Linked DNA regions of Lonchura striata. The protein of the gene in region 1 interacts with the protein of each later gene in a biochemical or structural test. Links are inferred from orthologs where the notes say so. Each region holds a gene or a part of one and is shown on either strand. Other genes may lie near its edges.

Region 1 (9,570 bases):
AGATTTTCTGGCTAGTCTGTACACACCTGACACCATCCTCACATGGAACACGATACTCAGCCCTGATACTCAGCTAATCAGGTTGGACATTAGGAAGAACATCTTCACAGAACGGGTGATTGGGCATTGGAATGGACTGCCCAAGGAGTGGTGGAGTCACTGTCCCTGAAGGTGCATAAGCAAAAACTGGAAATAGCACTTAGTGCCATGGCATTGGTTGACAAGACGCTGTTAGGTCATAGGTTGGACTTGATGATCTCAAAGGTCTTTTCCAACCTGGCTGATTTTGTAATTCTGTAATAAAGATAGGACAAGAATGGGAAGGACAAATTCCTCAATCAACAAAATGGTCCGTTGTTTGTGATGTGCAATTAACAGATGGCATTCCAATTAACATTCATATCCTTCAAATGTCTTATTAAACAAGCCTAAACAGCATTTTGAAATTTCCATTTTAAATTTTCTATGAGCTTGCAAGAAGTATCACAGATTTTACTACTGTCAACTAAAGCTGTTACTGCCTTTTAATGAAGGAGTGACTATATTATGACTTGAACTAAAGCAGTTCAGATCCTGCTGTTCAAAGCCACCAGGTCACCTGCACAGACTTCACCTGGAAGATGGAGCACCAAACTCACCCTTTAAAATGCACAGGCAGATTGTGGGCATCGAGACCTTAGAAACACCCTACACTTCAGATTCAAGGAGACAAATCCCTCACTGTCAGTCCCTGACACTAGATTCCCTCGGACTTCTATCCCAATAGCACCCAAGCCTGAAGAGCCATGGGGCACACAAAGGTCTGCTGGCAGAGCACTCCATGCCTTTCAAATGATGGTTTCAGTTTTGACTGAGGAAAATCATGAAACACAGGACCCTGAAATGCAGTAACACAATTACATGTCTTTGAGAATTCAGACGTATTATGTGCCTACCAGGGACCACCAGCTCCTGGCCCTCACTCCCTTCATCTCAACCACCTGCATGGTCACATGCACCTTCCCAGACGCCTTCCAAAACTTGGCGGGTTTGGATAGCTCTGGATCAAAAGGGAAGCCAAATTCAAAGTCACAGGTCTTCACAGAGAATGCCTTGTCAACAACTTCCCTAATTACATATACCCTGACTGGAAAATTGCCATTGTGCAGCTGTGGCAGCCTTGCAAAAAACAACCAAAACCCAGTATATTTTAAAATACTGTATTCAAGGACACTAAATCTAACTGAGAAAATGACTACAAAAATCATCTGATGCGGTACATATGCTCCAGTATGGGAAAAATTGCTGGTTCTGAAGATTTTGTTTGATCTGTTCCAAAAGTTACATAAAATCAGCACAAAAATGCTATTTCTCTTTGTACAACTCACCAGCATCAGGTTTACAAGCTCTGGATGACTATGCTAAACAGCACAGGTCCTTACAAGACTCCAGCAGCAGTTTTCTTCTGTTGAAGAAACCATTCCTCTGTTTTAACTAGTTACTAAGCCACAGGAGAATTCTGCTCTTCTATTTTGGCAGCTACACTGCCACACCATGCTCACTCAGCAAGAGACTCATCCAAGTCAGTGATACCTTACTGAAAGCCTATTTGAAAATCCACCTCACCAAAATACTCGGATTTGATTAAACCAGCCAGTGAAAGCAGCCCACTCTGCTCATTAAGTGGTATTGGTTCACATGCCCAATGTTCTATTTCTCTTCTAAAACTCAAATTTTAATCAACTTGCTGGAATCACCAACCAGCCTCTGTTGACCTTCTGGACTCTTTTCTTATCAGTACTCTATACTCCCCACTCCTCTCCCTTTCACACCACCCAGAATTTAAGGAACAGGCAATGCACTACTGTTAATACCTGGAAGCCCTCATGAACATCATCTAGCTCTTGCCATTTTCTACTGCTAATTGCAGCTATTTCTTCTAAATATTTTTTGCCAGTTTGACATTGCTGTTAAGAAATTACCAGCACAAGAATACTCCCTCCATAGGAAATACAAGAAATCCCTATGAACTATAATTTCATCTTTCACAAGCTTTCTCTTTTAAAAAGAGATTATTTTTTATCTTAAACAATTTGTCTCTCTTTTTAAAATCCTCTTAGTTCACATCTAACTTGCAGCTGTTTTTTCTTTTACATTTTCTCCCTTCAGAAGGGACTTCCAATTTTGTAAATAAAGACCTTTTTCAAAACCTACCAGGCTTCTAAGATGTGTGTCTGTTTCATGGGATTTTTTTTTGATTGTTGCTTTAATTTAGCAAGTTATATGAATCAGGACCAACAGCACAATCTCTATATGGAACATGACTTTCCATTAGTGGTCAAACAGGGAAAACCCGACTTAAAATACATATTACATGAAGTCAGAGAGCACCCAGCAGTTACCAAAGAAGAACAAGACAAGTGCTCAGCAAAGAAGCACTAGGAGAAATATTATAGACCCTAATAATAGAGATACTGATATCCATTGAGATTCAGAGAAAAATACTTTTTCCCAAGACACCTTCTTATAAGGCAGCAGGCTCACATCTGGTTTGCCTGACCAAGAAAGCAGAAGGTACCTCTGGAGCTCATGAATTAACTCATGCAGCTGCAAGCGCCACTATTCAGCATTACTCTGACATTTAACAGGCACGTTGATAAATATGATGTTACCACAAGCACTAGCTAATTGAAGTGTACTCAAAAATAATACAAATCTGTGGAAAAAATAACAGCCGGAGTTTGTTCTCAGGGCTTTTATCTCTGCCAAGTGGGAAACTAAGAGGATGAAGCGATGGCACTCCGGTGCTCCATCCCGGCCATTCCCCACCCACCCTCGACCTCTGCAAGCAGCGGATTATATAAACACCACGGAAAGCACCTCCTGCACCTCCGAGAGGAGGACGCAGGCACCAGACCCTCCAGGGGCCATTGAGTCACCCAGAGCCCCGCGAGGGTCACACCCGCACAAACGCTGCATCGCGAAGCCGGGCATTCCGGACGGGGAGAGGACCCTCGGGAGAGGCTACCGGGACGGGACTGGGGAGAGAGCACCGTCCTGAGGCCGCCCCGAGACTGCGGGACCGCCTCCTGCCTTGCATCACCCCTCTCGGCAGCGGCGCCTTCCCGAACCCGCGGAAACTTTCCCAGCGGGGCACCCGCGCCCCGGATTCCGCCCGGTTGCCTCCGGGCGCCGCTCCCCGCCGCGGCCCTCCCGCCGCCCCAGGGCGCCGGCGCGGCCGGGCCTACGCGCGGCCGGCTGGGCGGCGGCGGGAGGGCCTCGGTCCAGCTCGGCGGTGGAGGGCGCTCACCTGGGCGCACGGTCTTGAGGCGTACGGGCTCCCTGAAGTGCCGCACCACGGCTAGCGTGTCGCGGTGCGTGAGGCCGCTCACCGGGGTACCGTTCACCTCCAGCAGCACGTCCCCCGGCGCCGGCGCCTTGCCCGAGAGCAGCGCGGGGCCCGGCGAGTCCTCGCCGCCCGCGGGCAGCCGGCCCGCCAGGTACGGGAACTCGCCGCGCTCGGCGCCGCCGCGCAGCAGATCGGGGTCGGGGCCCGCTGGGCCGCCCCAGGACACCACGCACTCCTGCACCTTGCTCAGCCAGTGCCGCTTCTTCCGCAGCGTCTTGGACATGCCGCAACACGGGGCGACCCTACCCACCCCGCGCTGCCGCCGCTCCCGCCCCGGCCGCGGCTGCCGCCCGACTGCCGCCCCAGCGCGCCGCCCCGCCCCGCGCCGCCCCGCCGCCCCTCCCCGCCAGGCTCCGCTCTTCCCGTCTCCGCCGCGCCCTGCCTGCCTCGCTGGCCGCGCCCCTCCCGGCCCGCCGCGCCCTGCCGCCCCTTGGCCGCGGCCCTGGCGCGGGGCTGCCGGTCCGAGGCTGCGCGGGTGCCGGGCCAGGCCGAGCCGGGGCACGTAGGGGGCTTAGACCTGGCCCGCCGGGACCCCCAGGAGCTGCGGCACGTTCCGGGTGTGTCCTCCTCGCCCGGAAAGAGCCCCTCGGGCAATGCCCGCCTAGGCCGAGATACCCCCTCATCCGGCAGTTCCCCCGCCAGCGCCCGTTGCAGCAGGGTCGCTCTCAGCGAGGGCTTGCGTCGTGCAGGATCTCTCCTCAGCCAGGAGTTCCTCAGTCAGTGCCCATCCCAGGCAGGGTCTCCTGTCACCCAGCATCTCTGTCGGGATCTCTCCTCAGACAGGAGCTCCCCTCAGCCAGGGCCTTATCAGCTAAGAGCTCCCAGTCAGCTCCCACCTAAGGAAGAGTTTACCTTCAGCCAGGGTCACCCCTTAGCCAGGAGACCCCCTTGGCAGCTGGGTTTGAGATAGGTGTGAGAGCTGAGGTGGGGTGTCCATAATCTGCTCTCATGTTTGCACTTAGTGCCTGCACAATCAGACAGGCGGAGACCACTCCTGTGTATTCCCAGCATTCCTATGGCTACTGCCACTGGAACCAGTTGGTTCAAAGTAGTTTGATGACCTCAGGCCAAAACAGAGCTCGGAACAATTTAAATATAAACATGCAGATACTTTTTCAACTGGAAACACAAATCCAGTGGGTTTTCTCTTCACATGAGCCTGTTTATTTAGCTGTGATTCACAGAACTCAGCATAGCAATTAACTCATGCCAGGTGCAGATTACACGCCAGGTATGCGACATGTACATTCCAGCATTTGGGAGCACAGTGCAGCTGCCGAAGAAAGGAAACACTAAAAAGTATGAAGCAGAGGAAAGTTCATTCAAAATCAGTGTCACTGCTATAAAAGCTGGAAAATAATTATTTGAAAGCTTTCTGGTTCAAATTGCAAAATTCACTGCCCAGTCCTCAAATTTTTTTCTCTTAATCAGAGGCTGAATTTTCACTGCAAATCTCTTGTGATGTCTACAATGTTTTAGGAGCATCTTGAAGGCTCCAGCTGTGCCCAGTGGGCTGAAGTCTGTAAGGAGCAGCAGGGCTGGAAAAAAATCTGAGTCCTGAGAAAGTATAACCTTGCCACTGTTTGCAAATAAAGAGCTATGACTGAAGTACTGCTTTCTTTTCTGTAGGAGGAAGTGAAGAAGCTGGTGCCTGCAGAGCCTAAAGAATAATTGCTGAGTTGTAAAACAATGGATTTTTGTTCCCATTGCTGTGTCCCTGTGTTCACCTCAGTCTGGACAACACAGTGTGTTAGAAGTATCAGATTTCAACACTGAATTTTGCAGCGATAAATAGTAAGTGAAACCACTAAGAAACCTGCTCGTAACAAAAAACAGTAACTTCTGCAACCAGAAATTTTCCCTTTTCCAGTTCTTAGAGATTTGTCTACCATTAAGGCCTAGTAGTCTATGGCTTTTACAAAAAAAAAAGCAAGAATGTTTCCAAAGAAGTCAGAAGAACACCAATCTTACTTGCTGGGGTAAAACAATGTAATCCATACTTTTTTTGGGGACATTAACCAAATGCTACAAGCACAGGTTCAGCTCATCGTGTTCGCTGCTATTTGAGGCGCACTGGGCTGCCTGCCAACAGGCATGGAAAAAGCCACCAGAGATAAATTTTATTTCACGCTTGCAGAATAGAAGCAAAAAGGCTGAAAGCTTGTGAACTGGACATTAAAAGAGACACTGTCACATTGTTTAAAACAGGTCTTCAGTTTTTCACATGGGAATTGTGACATCAGGCATGAGCTGTAATTTATGAGCTGCTGATGGTAGCTTTTGCCAGATGTTCCAGAGAATACACAGAGTCCTGTGCAGACAGTGTGGATATCTCAAGGAAGAGATGAGTGTCTGACTGGCTCAAGGGTTGGAAGTTTGTCCCTCCCCCTAAGCAGAAGGTTTGTCCAGCCCTCACCTTAGGAAATTACAGCTCAGTCTTTTCACTGGCCAAGACTTCAAACCTTGGGTTGAAATGTGCACTGCATTTACACACCTGAAATGGAGGGCAGCTCCAAAATACTGACATATGCCAATTAATAACACTGGTAAAAAAACCAATGAAACTGCTGTTCTGCAATGAAAGTACTGTTGTCTTTAAGAGTATGCTTCCATATAAACTTAAAAGCCAAAACAAGCTGCCTAATTGTTGCAAATTTTATTATGCTAGCAAGTTGGGCAAGTTCATTGTACATTACATGAAGGATATTCCTCCTGCTCTCCATGAACAAACTTCGAAACATGTACGGGCTGCCTGGGAACTGGCTGACAGCTTTAGTCCATTTGTCTTGCTTTCATTTCTTGTTCCATATTACTCATCACGTATCCCAGACACATGAAGTGTCTGCACAGCCTTGGACACGATCAGAAAGGAATGTGCCCTTGCACCCCCACCAGTGGTGACCTGCTGAGGGCTGAGAAATCATTAATGTTTGGAGCTCTCAGTGAGTTAAAAGGGGCTATCAAAGAAACATCAGAGCTCCAGCATCCCTGGTTCATCACCCATCACACTGTGACAGCTGCCAGTCCACTCTGCTGTTGGCATCAGCACATACAGAATGCCACAAGAAGAGGATGCTAAGATCTGTCACACCAGAATGAAGGACATAAACTCTTTTAAGGCAGCACAGTTTTTGGTAGGAAAGGAAGTAAAGTTTGTTTATCACACTGCCAAAGTTCAAAGGCAATCAAAACAGCAAAAACATGTCAAACCGCTGTTTAATTAGAGCATGAAGACATATTGTCTCAGAGTGGTTAGGAAAGGAATTGTGGTATTGTGTTTAGATTCCTCTGAAGCCCTTTTCCTCATGCCCAGTGCTTGCCATGCAAATCTTGGTGTGACGTATAGGTCAGCAATCCTGTGCCACAGAGGCAAAATACTCACACAACATGCACAAACACAAAATAAGAACACCTTCTTCCTCAGCAAGGATGACATGAAAGCCAGTTGCACTGATACAGAGATGGCATTTGTTCATGCAGAAGGATGTTATTTCCTATTTTCCTGGTGACTGGGCACACAGGAGCTCTGTCTCTCTCACAACACCACTACCTGACCACAATGTTTTACAGCTTTTGGGAGAACCAACAAGTGATGGTTAACTCCACTGCATTAACTGAAAACAAAATCAGTTGCCAGGAAGCAGCAGTGGGCACAGTGTTATTCCCTAACAGAGCCCTCATCTCAAACACAGGGTCAGAAATTATTCAGGAAGCTCCATGCCTCTGAGGAAGCACAAACAAATCACAGTTGAATAAGAGTGGTTCAAAGCCAGGCACTTGCTGTTCTGTTGACAGACATATCCAGGACTGTCTATTTGAAAACTGTGTGACTCTAAGAGACATTTATCTGAAGGCAAACTTTAAAACATGTCATAAATTAACTTGTACAGGAGCAGAAGCTGCCGTGGAACCAGACCTTACCAGGGAATTTTGTAAAGCTTAGAGAATAAACTCAAGCCTCAAGAGAAGTCTTTGTCACCCTGGGCAGACACCAATCCCTGGTGTCTGTGCTCCTCACCTGGGAAAGGAGAATGTATCAACCCAGCAGGCTGTAGATGGGGATCAATGCATTCTTCGCTGATGCAAAGCTGCATCATAAACCTGCCTGTATTTCATAAACACATCAGCACAGCAGGCAAATGAGAGGCTGTACCAGCAGGAATAGCATCCACACAGTCGTATATCCTTCTTTGCTCCTCTTTCACATATAAATAACCATTCTCGAGCAATGCAGAACTACTGATCATTGCATACAATAGAATCAGAGAATCATAGAATATGATCATCAAGTCCAATTCCTGACCCTGCACAGGACAACCCCAAAATCCTACCATGTGCTTGAGAGTGTTGTCCAAACACTCCTTGAGCTCTGGCAGCCTTGGGGCATGACAACTGCTCTGCCCTGAGGAGCCATTTCAGTGCCCAACCACCCTATGGGGAGAAGAACTGTTTCCCAATATCCAGCTTAAACTTCCTCTGACACAGTTCCATGTTGTGCCTTCAGTACTACTATCACTGATCATCAGAGAGCAGAGAACAGTGTTGAATGTTTCCTCAGGAATCCTGTAAACAGCAAGAGTTCTGGACTGGGAATTTTAGATGTTTCAACCAAGATTTTACAGTAAATCAGCAGTGAATACAGATCCTCTGTATGCCTCAATTTTCCAGCTGCATATTCAACATCATTTTGCAACTGAAACATCACAAATCCTTTTAAACTAACACTCATTAAATGAAAGACAACTCAGTTGAAGGAAGCTCTGTAACCCTGCGATGGAGAATATGGGGGAAAACTGACAGAAAATTGTTTGTTTGCTTAACACAAACAACTGCCAACAGGTTAAAAGCTTGGTCAAGGGATGAGTCTGCCTCTGACCTGAGTTGTACTGCTTTGTACAATGACAGCAGTGTTCACTTATCCTCAAGCTGGCCAAAAAAAAAAAAAAAATAAAAGGAGGGGGAGGAGAACAACAAATAAAGGCACTTCTGAAACAAGGGGAATAATTTCTGAGAGCAGGTGTCATGCAGGGATCTACGGGACATACAGTCATATACTCTCAAGCACTTTTCATCTTCTTTGCTGTTTCCTCTGTGCCTCACCAACAGGAGTCAAAAATTCCAGAGTAAATTTAAAAATTAACTACAGAGATTGTCACGTGCCTGTTCCAAGTACAGTTGGATGCCACGGTAAAATTAACGAGATGAACTAAGAGGACTTGTCATTTTGAATAAAGAAGCAACCTACACAAATACCCCTCCACTACTTGGTCTGGGACACAGATGATGTGATCAAACACCGCCAATGCCAATGAATGCAAAAAGGGGATTAAAGGCCCAGTCAAACACTGAGGGGAGAGTCACACAGTGACATTGTACAGAATTACAGCAAGAGTTTGAAGTCTACATATTGGATTTAGAACCTAAATGTAGTAATGGAGTGTTTAAGTCTAGATATAGAACTTAATGCTTTGAAGAATAAACAAGGCTGGAGGAATGCAGTAAAGTGCATGGCTGAAAGAGGCAAGCAAGACTGAGTAATTCAGGAAGCGAGGACCAAGTGTGACAGGACCAGTGGACCAGTGGCAGAGCCACTGCTACTGAATTACAGAATCACAGATCACAGAATGTGTTAGGTTGAAAGGGACCACAGTGGGTCATCTGGTCCTACCTTTCTGCTTCCAGGGTCATACCAGATCACATGGCACTGGACTGTGTACAGATCATTAATCATCTCCAATGAGAGAGACTCCACACCCTCTCTGGACAATCTGTTCCAGTGTTGTGTCACTCACATATAAAGAAGTTCTTCCTCATATTCAGGTGGAACTTCCTGTGCATCAGTTTCTGCCCATTGCCTCTTTTCCTATTGTTGGGCACCACCAAGCAGAACCTGGTCCGTCTTCTTGGCCGCCCTCCTTTAAACATTTATAGACATGGATGAGCTCCCCTTTTTGTTGCCCTTTCTTGAGGATGAACAGGCCCAGCTCTCTCAGCCTTTCCTCATAAGAGAGATGCTCCAGTCTCTTGATAACTTTGTAGCTCTAAATTTAATGATTGGGAATGGTCTGTGCTGGGATAAAACCCTGGCTAATGGGTGTCACAGGCCAGCTCTCCTCTGTATGTAGGACTGACTGGCAAAATACGCTCTTCCTCCATTTATTAGGAATGGCAGAAGCTGTTGG
Region 2 (9,215 bases), on another chromosome or scaffold:
ACTGAGTAGGTGTGCCTGCACCGAGTGTGCACCTGCACCAAGTGTGCACCTGCACTGTGTACCTCAGTGTAGGAACTCGGTGTTCCTACACCAAGTGTGCATCTACACCGAGTAGGTGTACCTGCACTGAGTATGCACCTACATTGTGTTCCTATACTGAATGTGTTCCTACACTGAGTGTGTACCTGCACTGAGTGTGCACCTACAGTGAGTGTGTACCTACACTGAGTATGTTCCTGTACTGCGTTCCTACACCGCATGTGTTCATACACTGTGTTCCTACACTGTGTTCCTACACCAAGTGTGTACGTGCATTGAGTGTGCTCCTACATCGAGTGTGTACCCACACTGAGTAGTGCTACACTGTGTTCCTACACCAAGTGTGTACGTGCATCGAGTGTGCTCCTACATCGAGTGTGTACCCACACTGAGTAGTGCTACACTCTGTTCCTACACCAAGTGTGTACGTGCACTGAGTGTGTTCCTACACCAAGTGTGTTCTTACACTGAATGTGTTCCTACACCGAGTGTGTACCTACACTGAGCAGTACTCCTACACCAAGTTCCTACACCGAGTGTACCTACACCAAGCCCACAGCTCCGCACTCTCAGCGCTGGTGCAGCGCGGAGCGAGCAGCGCCTGCCAGCGCCGCTCCTGCCCTCTTAATGTTTATCCCGGGGGCTGCCCTGCGGCCGCTCACGCCACCGAGTGTCACCGTGCCACCGCACCCTTCCCGTGCCACTCCCCGGGCACCGGGGCACGGCTGGCATCCCTTCACCGTGACACCACACCGGGGCACGGCTGGCATCCCTTCACCGTGACACCGCACCGGGGCACGGCTGGCATCCCTTCACCGTGACACTGCACCGGGGCACGGCTGGCATCCCTTCACCGTGACACCGCATCGGGGCACCGGGGCACGGCTGGCATCCCTTCACCGTGACACCACACCGGGGCACGGCTGGCATCCCTTCACCGTGACACCACACCGGGGCACGGCTGGCATCCTTCCCGAGCCAGCACGGAGGGCACGGAAGCGCTCCCGGCACATTCCTTGGCCCCGCTCGGTGCCGAGGCGACAACAGGAGCCGAGTCAGTCACAGCTTGGGGAGGAGAGGGCTCTTAGCGCTGCTCCTCCTTCCCAGGCAGGATCAGCAGCATTTTGGGAAAAGGAGCAGCAGGAATTCCCGGAGCCCCGCGTTGTACCCGGAGAGCTCCAGCAGTTTGTCCCCAGGCTGACACCCCCCGTGCTCCCTGCCCGTCCGGGGGGATTCCCCTCCAGCCCTGTGGGCACCAGCGCTCGGGGCGAGTCCTCAGAGCAGCCGAGGCCACACGGGCACGGCCGGGGGTGTCGGTAACCAGAAACCCGCTCCGCCCCCGTCCCACCCCGGCTCCTCCGGGACGGGGCACGGCGCTGCCCCAAAGCCGCTCTGCCTCCTGCTGCACCGGGACTCAGCCCCGGGCTGGCCGCTCGCCACCCACCCAGGTCCCCTGGGCACCCAGAGACCCCCACACCCCCAAACTGAGCACGGAGCGAGCCGACAACGCCACCAACACCAGCAGCAACAGCAACAGCAACACCGACACCAACACCGACACCAACACCAATACCAACATCACATCACCGTGGTGCGGGGAGAGCGCGTGGAAATGCGGGGACTCCGCACGCCCGAGCATTCCCCGGGACACCACGGCCCGAGAGGTCCCGGGAGCAGCTTTTCCTGCCCTTTTCCCGAGTATTCCTGAAAGAACCCCGCACTGCACACCCTTCCGGCACCGGGGTGCGCCCCCAGCCCAAATTGCTGCCCCCTCCAGGCAGGGACTCTCCTGTCCTGTCCTGTCCTGTCCTGTCCTGTCCTGTCCTGTCCTGTCCCGGGGACACCTGGCAGAGCCTGGCACACGGGACAAACCCCCTCCACACCCAACCCCAGCGACCTGCAGCCGTGCCGCGGTCGGAGCGGCGCTTCCAGGGTGCCACGGAAAATCCAAACCTCCTCCCGTCCCACCTCCCCGGGCTCGCTGTCATCTGAGCCTCGCAGTTAAACAAACCGGGCGCTTTACGAGCTTTTGGCTGGGCTGTGATTGTAGCCGCGTGTCACCCGACTTCCCAGTGCCACATTCCTGAGTCCCACAGTCACAGGTTCACATTCTAGGCAAACGATTCCGTTTATTTATATTTTTTTTTTCCCCTGCAGAAAGTCCTGTGGCACTCGGCAAAACAAAACCCCGCAGAGCACTCGCAGTTTTTGGGCGGTGATCAAACTGTCCCAGCGCCGGCAGCCCCGAGCCTGCCCCGCTGCCTGCATCCCTTCCCCGCCGGTTTGTCGCAGATCAAATTCAGGGGTTTTGCCATCTCCGCAAAGTGCCCCGGGCTGGACAACCCTGCCACCCCTGCCCCAGGTGCCCTCCTGGCCTGGAGGGCTCCCACAGCCACCAGCGGGGATGTGACAAGGGGACCGGGAGCGGTCCCACCGGGCAGGGGGGTCCAGCCCCGCTCCCAGCTCCCACAAGGTCATGAGGTAGTTCAGTGCCAGGCCAGTTCAGTCCCGGCCACGGCCAGAAATCCCTCCGGGGACGAGCATCCTGCACAGCCTGGCGTCCCCCACCCTGCTAAGGGACCCCCGGGTCGTGCCCCAAACCAGGGGGGGCTGCCAGCAGCCCCTCCGCCCTGCCAGGGGCCAGCTTGCAGAGTTTGAGTTTGGGGTTTCTTGCAGCTGTTAGGTTTTAGGCGCTCTCTAAAAAACAATCACTCTCGTTACGAAAGGAGGTTGATTTTCATTGGAAAGGCTCCTCTGTGCACCCCCCGCCCGAGCCCCCAGCACCCTCCCCGCCGGGCACAGTACCTTTGCCGTGCAAAAAATCCTCGGGGCGAGGGAAGGAGCCCTCCTCGCAGAGCAAGTCGCAGGTTTTATCCGGGGCCAGGGGGTAGCCGTTGTCCTCCTCGTTGTAGTCGCTCCTGCCGTTGCTGTTGGAGTAGCCGTTGGCGTACATCTTGAGGGCGGACCTGCGCAGGCACAGCAGCTCCTGGAAGGCGTACCTGAAGTCGGGGCTCCGGCAGTAGATCAGGGGGTTGAAGGCAGAGTTGACGTAGCCCAGCCAGTTCAAGAGGATGTACAGGTACTTGGGAATGATGTTGTCCTGGATGACGTGCACGATGTTGACGATGAAGAAGGGCAGCCAGCACAGCGTGAAGGTGCCCATGATGATGCCCAGGGTTTTGAGGGCCTTGTGCTCCTTCAAGAAGAACTTGGAGGAGCGGCGGTGCCCGGCTCCCCCTTTCTGCTCCTGCTCCTTGTTCTGGGTGTGAAACCTCCCCTCGCTCCTGTCTATCTTCTGCAGCTGCTTCTTGGCCACCTGGAAGACCCTGGCGTACACGAAGACCATGACGACGAGGGGCAGGTAGAAGGAGATGATGGAGGAGGCGATGGCGTAGGCTTGGTTGGTGAAGAAGTCGCAGCACATCTCGTTCTGGTAGCAGCGGATGGCGTCCTCATGGTCTGCCCGGTACCAGTGCATCTGGATGGGCAGGAAGGAGGTCAGGCCCGACACCACCCACACCACCAGGATGACCACGCGCGCCTTGCCCTTGGTCAGCAGGCTCTGGTACTTGAACGGGGACGTGATGGCGAAGTACCGGTCCACGGCGATGACGCACAGGGTCTCGATGCTGGCCGTGACGCACAGCACGTCCAAAGAGGTCCAGAACTCGCACCAGAAGTTCCCAAACTTCCACATCTCCATGATGATGTGGCAGGCGCCGAAGGGCACCACGGCCAGCCCCATGACCAGGTCGGCGCAGGCCAGCGAGGTGATGAAGTAGTTGGTGACAGTCTGCAGGCGCTGGAAGCGGGCGATGGCCGTGATCACCAGCACGTTGCCGAAGACGATGGCCAGCACGATCACCGACATCAGGATGCCCATGCCCACCATCCACACGTCCCGCGACACCGTGGGGTCGGCGGCGCTCTGGTTGGCGCTGGCGTTGCCGCCGGGCAGCTCCGTCCCCGCCGCGGCCATGGCCCGGCGCAGCCCCGGGGCGGCGGGGAGGGCTCGGCTCCGCTCAGCGCTCCGCAGCCGCGGCGCCGCTCCGGGAGCCGCGCATACGGGACAGGTGCGGGGCAGGCGCGGGGCCGCTGCGCTGGGGCACCGGCGCCGCTCCGCTCCGCTCCCGTCCCGTCCCAGCCCGTGTCCCAGCCCGTGTCCCAGCCCGTTAGGCGCCGCGGAGCTTTTTAAGTGACAGCAGCCCGTGACATCAGCCCGCCGCAGCCAATGGCAGCCGGCACCGCACCCCGGCCCCCCCGCACCCCGCGGCCACCCCCGCCTGCCCCACGCGTGTCCCCGCCCCGCCGGCCGCATCCCCGCGCCCCGCGGGCTCGCCCCGCTCCGTGCGCGCTCCCCTTCCCCGCGGTGCTCTCCCTTCCCCCTGCCCCGAGGTGTGCTTACCGGGGGCTCCCCTTCCCCGTGGGGTTCTCCCTTCCCTGCCCCGGGGTGCGCTCACTGCGGGCTCCCCTTCCCCGCGGGGTTCTCCCGTCCCCGTCCCGGGGTGCGCTGACCGCCCGCTCCCCTTCCCCGCGGTGCTCTCCCTTCCCCCTGCCCCGAGGTACCCTCCCGTCCCCCTGCCCCGGGGTGCACTCGCCGGGGGCTCTCCCAGCTCCGTGCCCGTTCCCCGTCCCCGCGGTGCTCTCCCTTCCCTGCCCCGGGGTGCGCTCACCGGGGGCTCTCCCCACTCCCTGTCCCCGCGGTGCCCTCCCGTCCCCCTTCCCCGTGGGGTTCTCCCTTCCCCCTTCCCCGTGGGGTTCTCCCTTCCCCCGTCCCCGCGGTGCCCTCCCGTCCCCGCCCCGGGATGTGCTCCAGGCACCGCCGTGTCCCTGCGCCTTCTGCCCGCAGTGCTCTCCCCGCGTCACTGATGTCCCCCCACGGTGTCCCCACCCCACCCGTGCCCCCCGTGTGCTCAGCAGGACGCACAGCGCCAGGAACATCCCGAGGACTCGGGGAGCCCCTGGCACCCCACCGGCGTTGGTGGCACCTCGTGGCAGGATGTCACCCGTGTCCCCGTCCCTGCCAGTCGCCAGCTCGGTGCTCTTGCTGCTCCCCAGTTGTGGGGCGCATCCAAGTGAAGCAGCCACAGGAATCCCAGAGCTGCTCAAGGGTAGAGACAGCCCTTAACTGTGCTGGGAGCACTGGCCAGGCAGGGAGTGACCACTGGAAACTGTGGCTGGCCACGCTGCAGCCAGGCACGTGTTCAGAGCCCGACACTATCACAAGCACTCCCCTCCAAAACAAACAAACTGGCTAAATAAGAGCTAAGGAATCCTGAAAACTTCCTTTTAGCCTGTCCGGAGATAAAACGCTGCCTCTGGAGTTTCATTTCTGCCATCCCTCTGAAGCAGCACTGCTTTCCCAGAGACCCATCTCACTCTGCTGGCCCTGGCTGCTTTCAGAGGTTTCAGCTGAAAGCTGTGGTTCTAAAACAGCTCGGTACTACAGAAAGGGAGAAAATAAAGAATTCTTTTCACCCAGATTACCCCAATGCCAGCAGCAGCAGCTGCAGGTCAGTCCCTGGCTGGATGCAGCTCTGTGGCCCTCCCATGGCACAGGAGTGCCAGACTCCTGCCTTTGTCAGCAATTAAACACTTATCAATGGTGAATCTTATGTGAAACTCATCAGCTCTTGGGTTCTGATGCGTTTTCATCATTCTGCCTCATTTTTCCTGCAGTACTGGGGTGCCAGGGCCAGGTTCCCCACTTTTGGCTGTCTTTGCCCCACTGTCCCACACCACAGCCTGCTGGGTGTCCATGCCATGCCCTGGCTGTGCTGGGGATATTTATAGGGGAGGGAGGAAGTTTGGTGGTTTAAACCAGAGGGGCAGATGAGGTACTGGAATCAGGAAACGAGATTAAAGGCAGTTATGAAGTGTCTGTCTTGCCCTGAACCCGCGGCTTCCCTGCTCTCCCCACACTCCACCTCTGCATCCACACGCTTCAGAGGCTTAAAAATGAAGAGACAAGGAACAGGAGATGCAGAAGTCACCCCCCTCCCACTGCAGACATCTGGCAGAGCAGGGACCCTGGGAGGAGCTCACCATCTGAGCTGATTACCTGGAGCTTCCCCTGCCCGTAAGATAAATAAGGCACACGGGGCCATCCCTCCCTACACACACAGCCAGGCAGAGCTGGGACCTGCTGGGTTCACTCTGTGGCCCCGAGGCTTTCACAGACCTCACCCCAGCAGGGCTGTGCCCCACAGGGGCTCGGCGAGCCCAGCTGGGTGCAATGTCCATTCCCACCCTCTGCCCCAGGCCAGCAGCTCCCACCTTGCAGGGAAAACACGGCCAAAAGCTCCTGGGAAAGCAAGGATGTGCAGGAAGTGCAGTAGTGGGAAAGAAAAAAACAGGAGGAAAAGGAGAAATTGTGGGAACTACACCTCATCCTCAGCTCCCTGTTCCCTTTTTTTGGTAAGAGCTGATGTGACAGCTCTAAGAAGCACTCGAGGTGTCAGGTAGTGACCAGGTGAGTTTGCTGGGCTGTTCCTGAGCATTTTGACACCAAATCCAAGCATTCCTAAAGAATTAAGTCCCCTCTCCTGATAAACATAAGGATGTTCATCCTACAGATGTTCAGCACTGGGTCCTGGCAGGAGCAGAAGCAGATTTGGGGATGTGTGGGAAACTGCTGCTCTGAGAGAGGCACAGGCGAGTTCCCTGCTTTGTAACAAGGCTTTTACCCAAGGCAGCCCTGGCTCTGCAATCCCTCTCCAGAGGCAGCTCCAGGACTCTGGAGCTCTGTGCCCAGGCTGCAGGGATCAGCCAGCCCCGTCTCCAGCTCGGTATTTTGTCTTTGTTGTACTCTGTTCAAAGAAATCTCAGCCTGGGCTTTGGACAAGAGGCTGTGCTGGAGGAAGGAGGGCAAAGCTGATTTTTGTTCCTTGATTTGCTCTCCGGCAATCTTTGCTCACCTTTTCGGGTGGGCTTGAGATGATTTTTGTCTTTGACAACACATCTGTGGCCCTCAGTAAGTTGGACAAGTGACCACAGGCTCTAAAAAAGGAAGGAATTTGCCTGACATAAAAATAAATTCCATCACCCCAAGTCTCACTGGCTTGTGAGGTTTGCATGACTTTACCTGTGCTTTTGAGCAATTATTAGATTTCCATCAGGTTCAAGGCTTCATATTGGAACAAAAATAATACCAAACCTCAGAGATGTTATGAACAGTTCAGTTTGAATTTTTTTGGAGGGGAGAGGCCCAAAATGCCTCCTTCTGGGTTCCTTGGACTTGGAGGGTGTCAGAACCAGACAGATCTCATTTGTTTCATGGCCCACTGGCCCTGGTGCTTTGTCATCACGCTGATCTTTTCCCTTTCCATAATTGGATACCTTCTCCCTGCTCGCTGAGTGACATTTGAAGAGCAGCCTGTGGGATCAATGAGAAAGCAGGGCTGGGAGAGAGAAATAATCACTTTTATCAGCCCAACTGACAGAACTGGAATAAACAGCCCGTCTTTTTGGCATGGAAGGCTTTCCTGAGGACTGTGAGGAGCTGGATGCTGTGTGCCTGCCCAGATGTTTATCACAAACTGGAATTAAATACCCTGGCCAGATCAGGCTCTTGGCAAGAGCTTGGAAGTGACAATCCTCAACAAAAGCGGTGTTTGGCAGCAGGGGAATTTGTGAAATTCCTCGCAGGGAAGGGTGTGAGGAGGCTTGGAGCCACCTGGGGTGGTGGAAGGTGTCCCTGCCTGTGGCTGGGGATGGAATTCAGTGATCTTTAAGGTCCCTTCCACCCAAGCCATTCCATGATTCTTTAGGCTCCCTCAAGATTCAGAGCAGGGTCGGGGTGCTCTGTGCAGGTTTTTGGGGGGATCAGAGTGCAGCCTCCTGGCTCCTGATTGATTTTCCTCTCCGTCCCTCCAAGCCATGAGAGGGAGCCACCCCTGACTTGCAGCTCCTGGTTAATCTCTCCCTTCTCCTTGTCGGGAAGACCGGCGCAGTCAGAAGAGGGTTTGAGTGATAAAATTGAGTTTTTGTTTGCTCCCTTCTCTCCGGAGCTCCCTGCACGGCCAGGGGGGAGCTCTGGGCTGTCAGTGAGGAAAGCCCAGGGTCCCCTTTGCACTGCCCTGGGTCAGGAGGGGCAGTGCAGGGGACAGAGACGCTCCAGCCTCGGTCCAAGGGGGTGATGCTGCCACCTCTGCCCCCCGGGACGGTGCCCACCCCGTGCCCTGCAGGGGAAGGGGCAGTGGGGGGGTTCTGCTCTGCTCTGGGGGGTGCAGGGCGGTGTGAAGGGCCTGGGACAGCTCCTGCCTGCCCCTGGAGCTGCCCTAAAGCTCCCACAGGTGCCACCGGCTGCCTGACCCTGGAGCTGCTCCCACAGGTGCCACTGTCCCCACCTGACCCCACCCGAGGGTGCTGTGAGGGTGGGAAAGGGAACAGAACAAAGCAGGACCTGGTTCACTGTGGGAACCCAGAGCTTCCCTCTGGCTGCCCTGGGACCCTGGCAGGGTCAGGAACCCCCTGGACAGAGCCCCCAGAGACACTGCCTGTGATCTCTGGCCATGGAAAAGAGTTTTCAATCTTACAGCATTAATTACTAGCTCTGAGGGTTTGATATAAGTGTTAATTAAGTGTGGCACAAAAGTAAAATTTTAGAATTCTAGATGAGGGGTCCAAAGGGGACAAGATGGAGGAAATTGGGTGTGCCTTGTCCTTTTTCTCCTTCTTCATGCCCTCCATGTGTCACTGTGGTGTTGGCATTTTTCTGTTGGTTCAGGCTGGGGACACACTGTCCAACGTAGGTGACAGATATTGGCACGTTCTTGTAAATGCAGCCCAGGGAGTTTCTGGTATTGAATGTTTGTCACATCCCACTGAGGGCAGAGCCCCACACGCTGCCCTGCAGGACAGAGCTGGGCAGGGCAGCAGAACATGTGAGAGATAAACAGAATAAACAACCTGGAAACCAGCACAGACCAATTCTGGCTTCTGCTTTGGCATGGGGGCTGACAGACAGAGACTCTTTGCAATTTTGGAATCATCAATAGCTCAAATTCCGACATTGCACCAGGGCTGGGGGTGCTCTGGTCCTCCCCGTGCACCTGCGGGGTACCCGAGTGTGGGACACCCAGATTTTAACCCCTGCAGCCCCAGCACTCACAGCGAAGCAATTGCTGCGTTTCAGAGCAGACCGAGGGAAGGGAAACTGCCGGGCACGGCGATGA

The links.
Region 2: the proteins of MAGI3 (region 1) and ADRB2 form a complex in vitro, tested with the Homo sapiens proteins (2 studies listed by IntAct, with this or other methods). The link is inferred for Lonchura striata from reciprocal best matches to the Homo sapiens genes MAGI3 and ADRB2.

The regions. Positions count from the first base shown.
Region 1 is NC_134632.1:5,996,317-6,005,886, reverse strand, and holds the start of MAGI3 (membrane-associated guanylate kinase, WW and PDZ domain-containing protein 3), read right to left. Parts: upstream 3,691-9,570; 5' UTR 3,612-3,690; coding exon 3,290-3,611; intron 1-3,289.
Region 2 is NC_134617.1:1,907,696-1,916,910, forward strand, and holds the start of ADRB2 (beta-2 adrenergic receptor), read right to left. Parts: upstream 4,072-9,215; 5' UTR 4,019-4,071; coding exon 2,845-4,018; intron 1-2,844. UniProt on the Homo sapiens protein: Beta-adrenergic receptors mediate the catecholamine-induced activation of adenylate cyclase through the action of G proteins. The beta-2-adrenergic receptor binds epinephrine with an approximately 30-fold greater affinity than it does norepinephrine.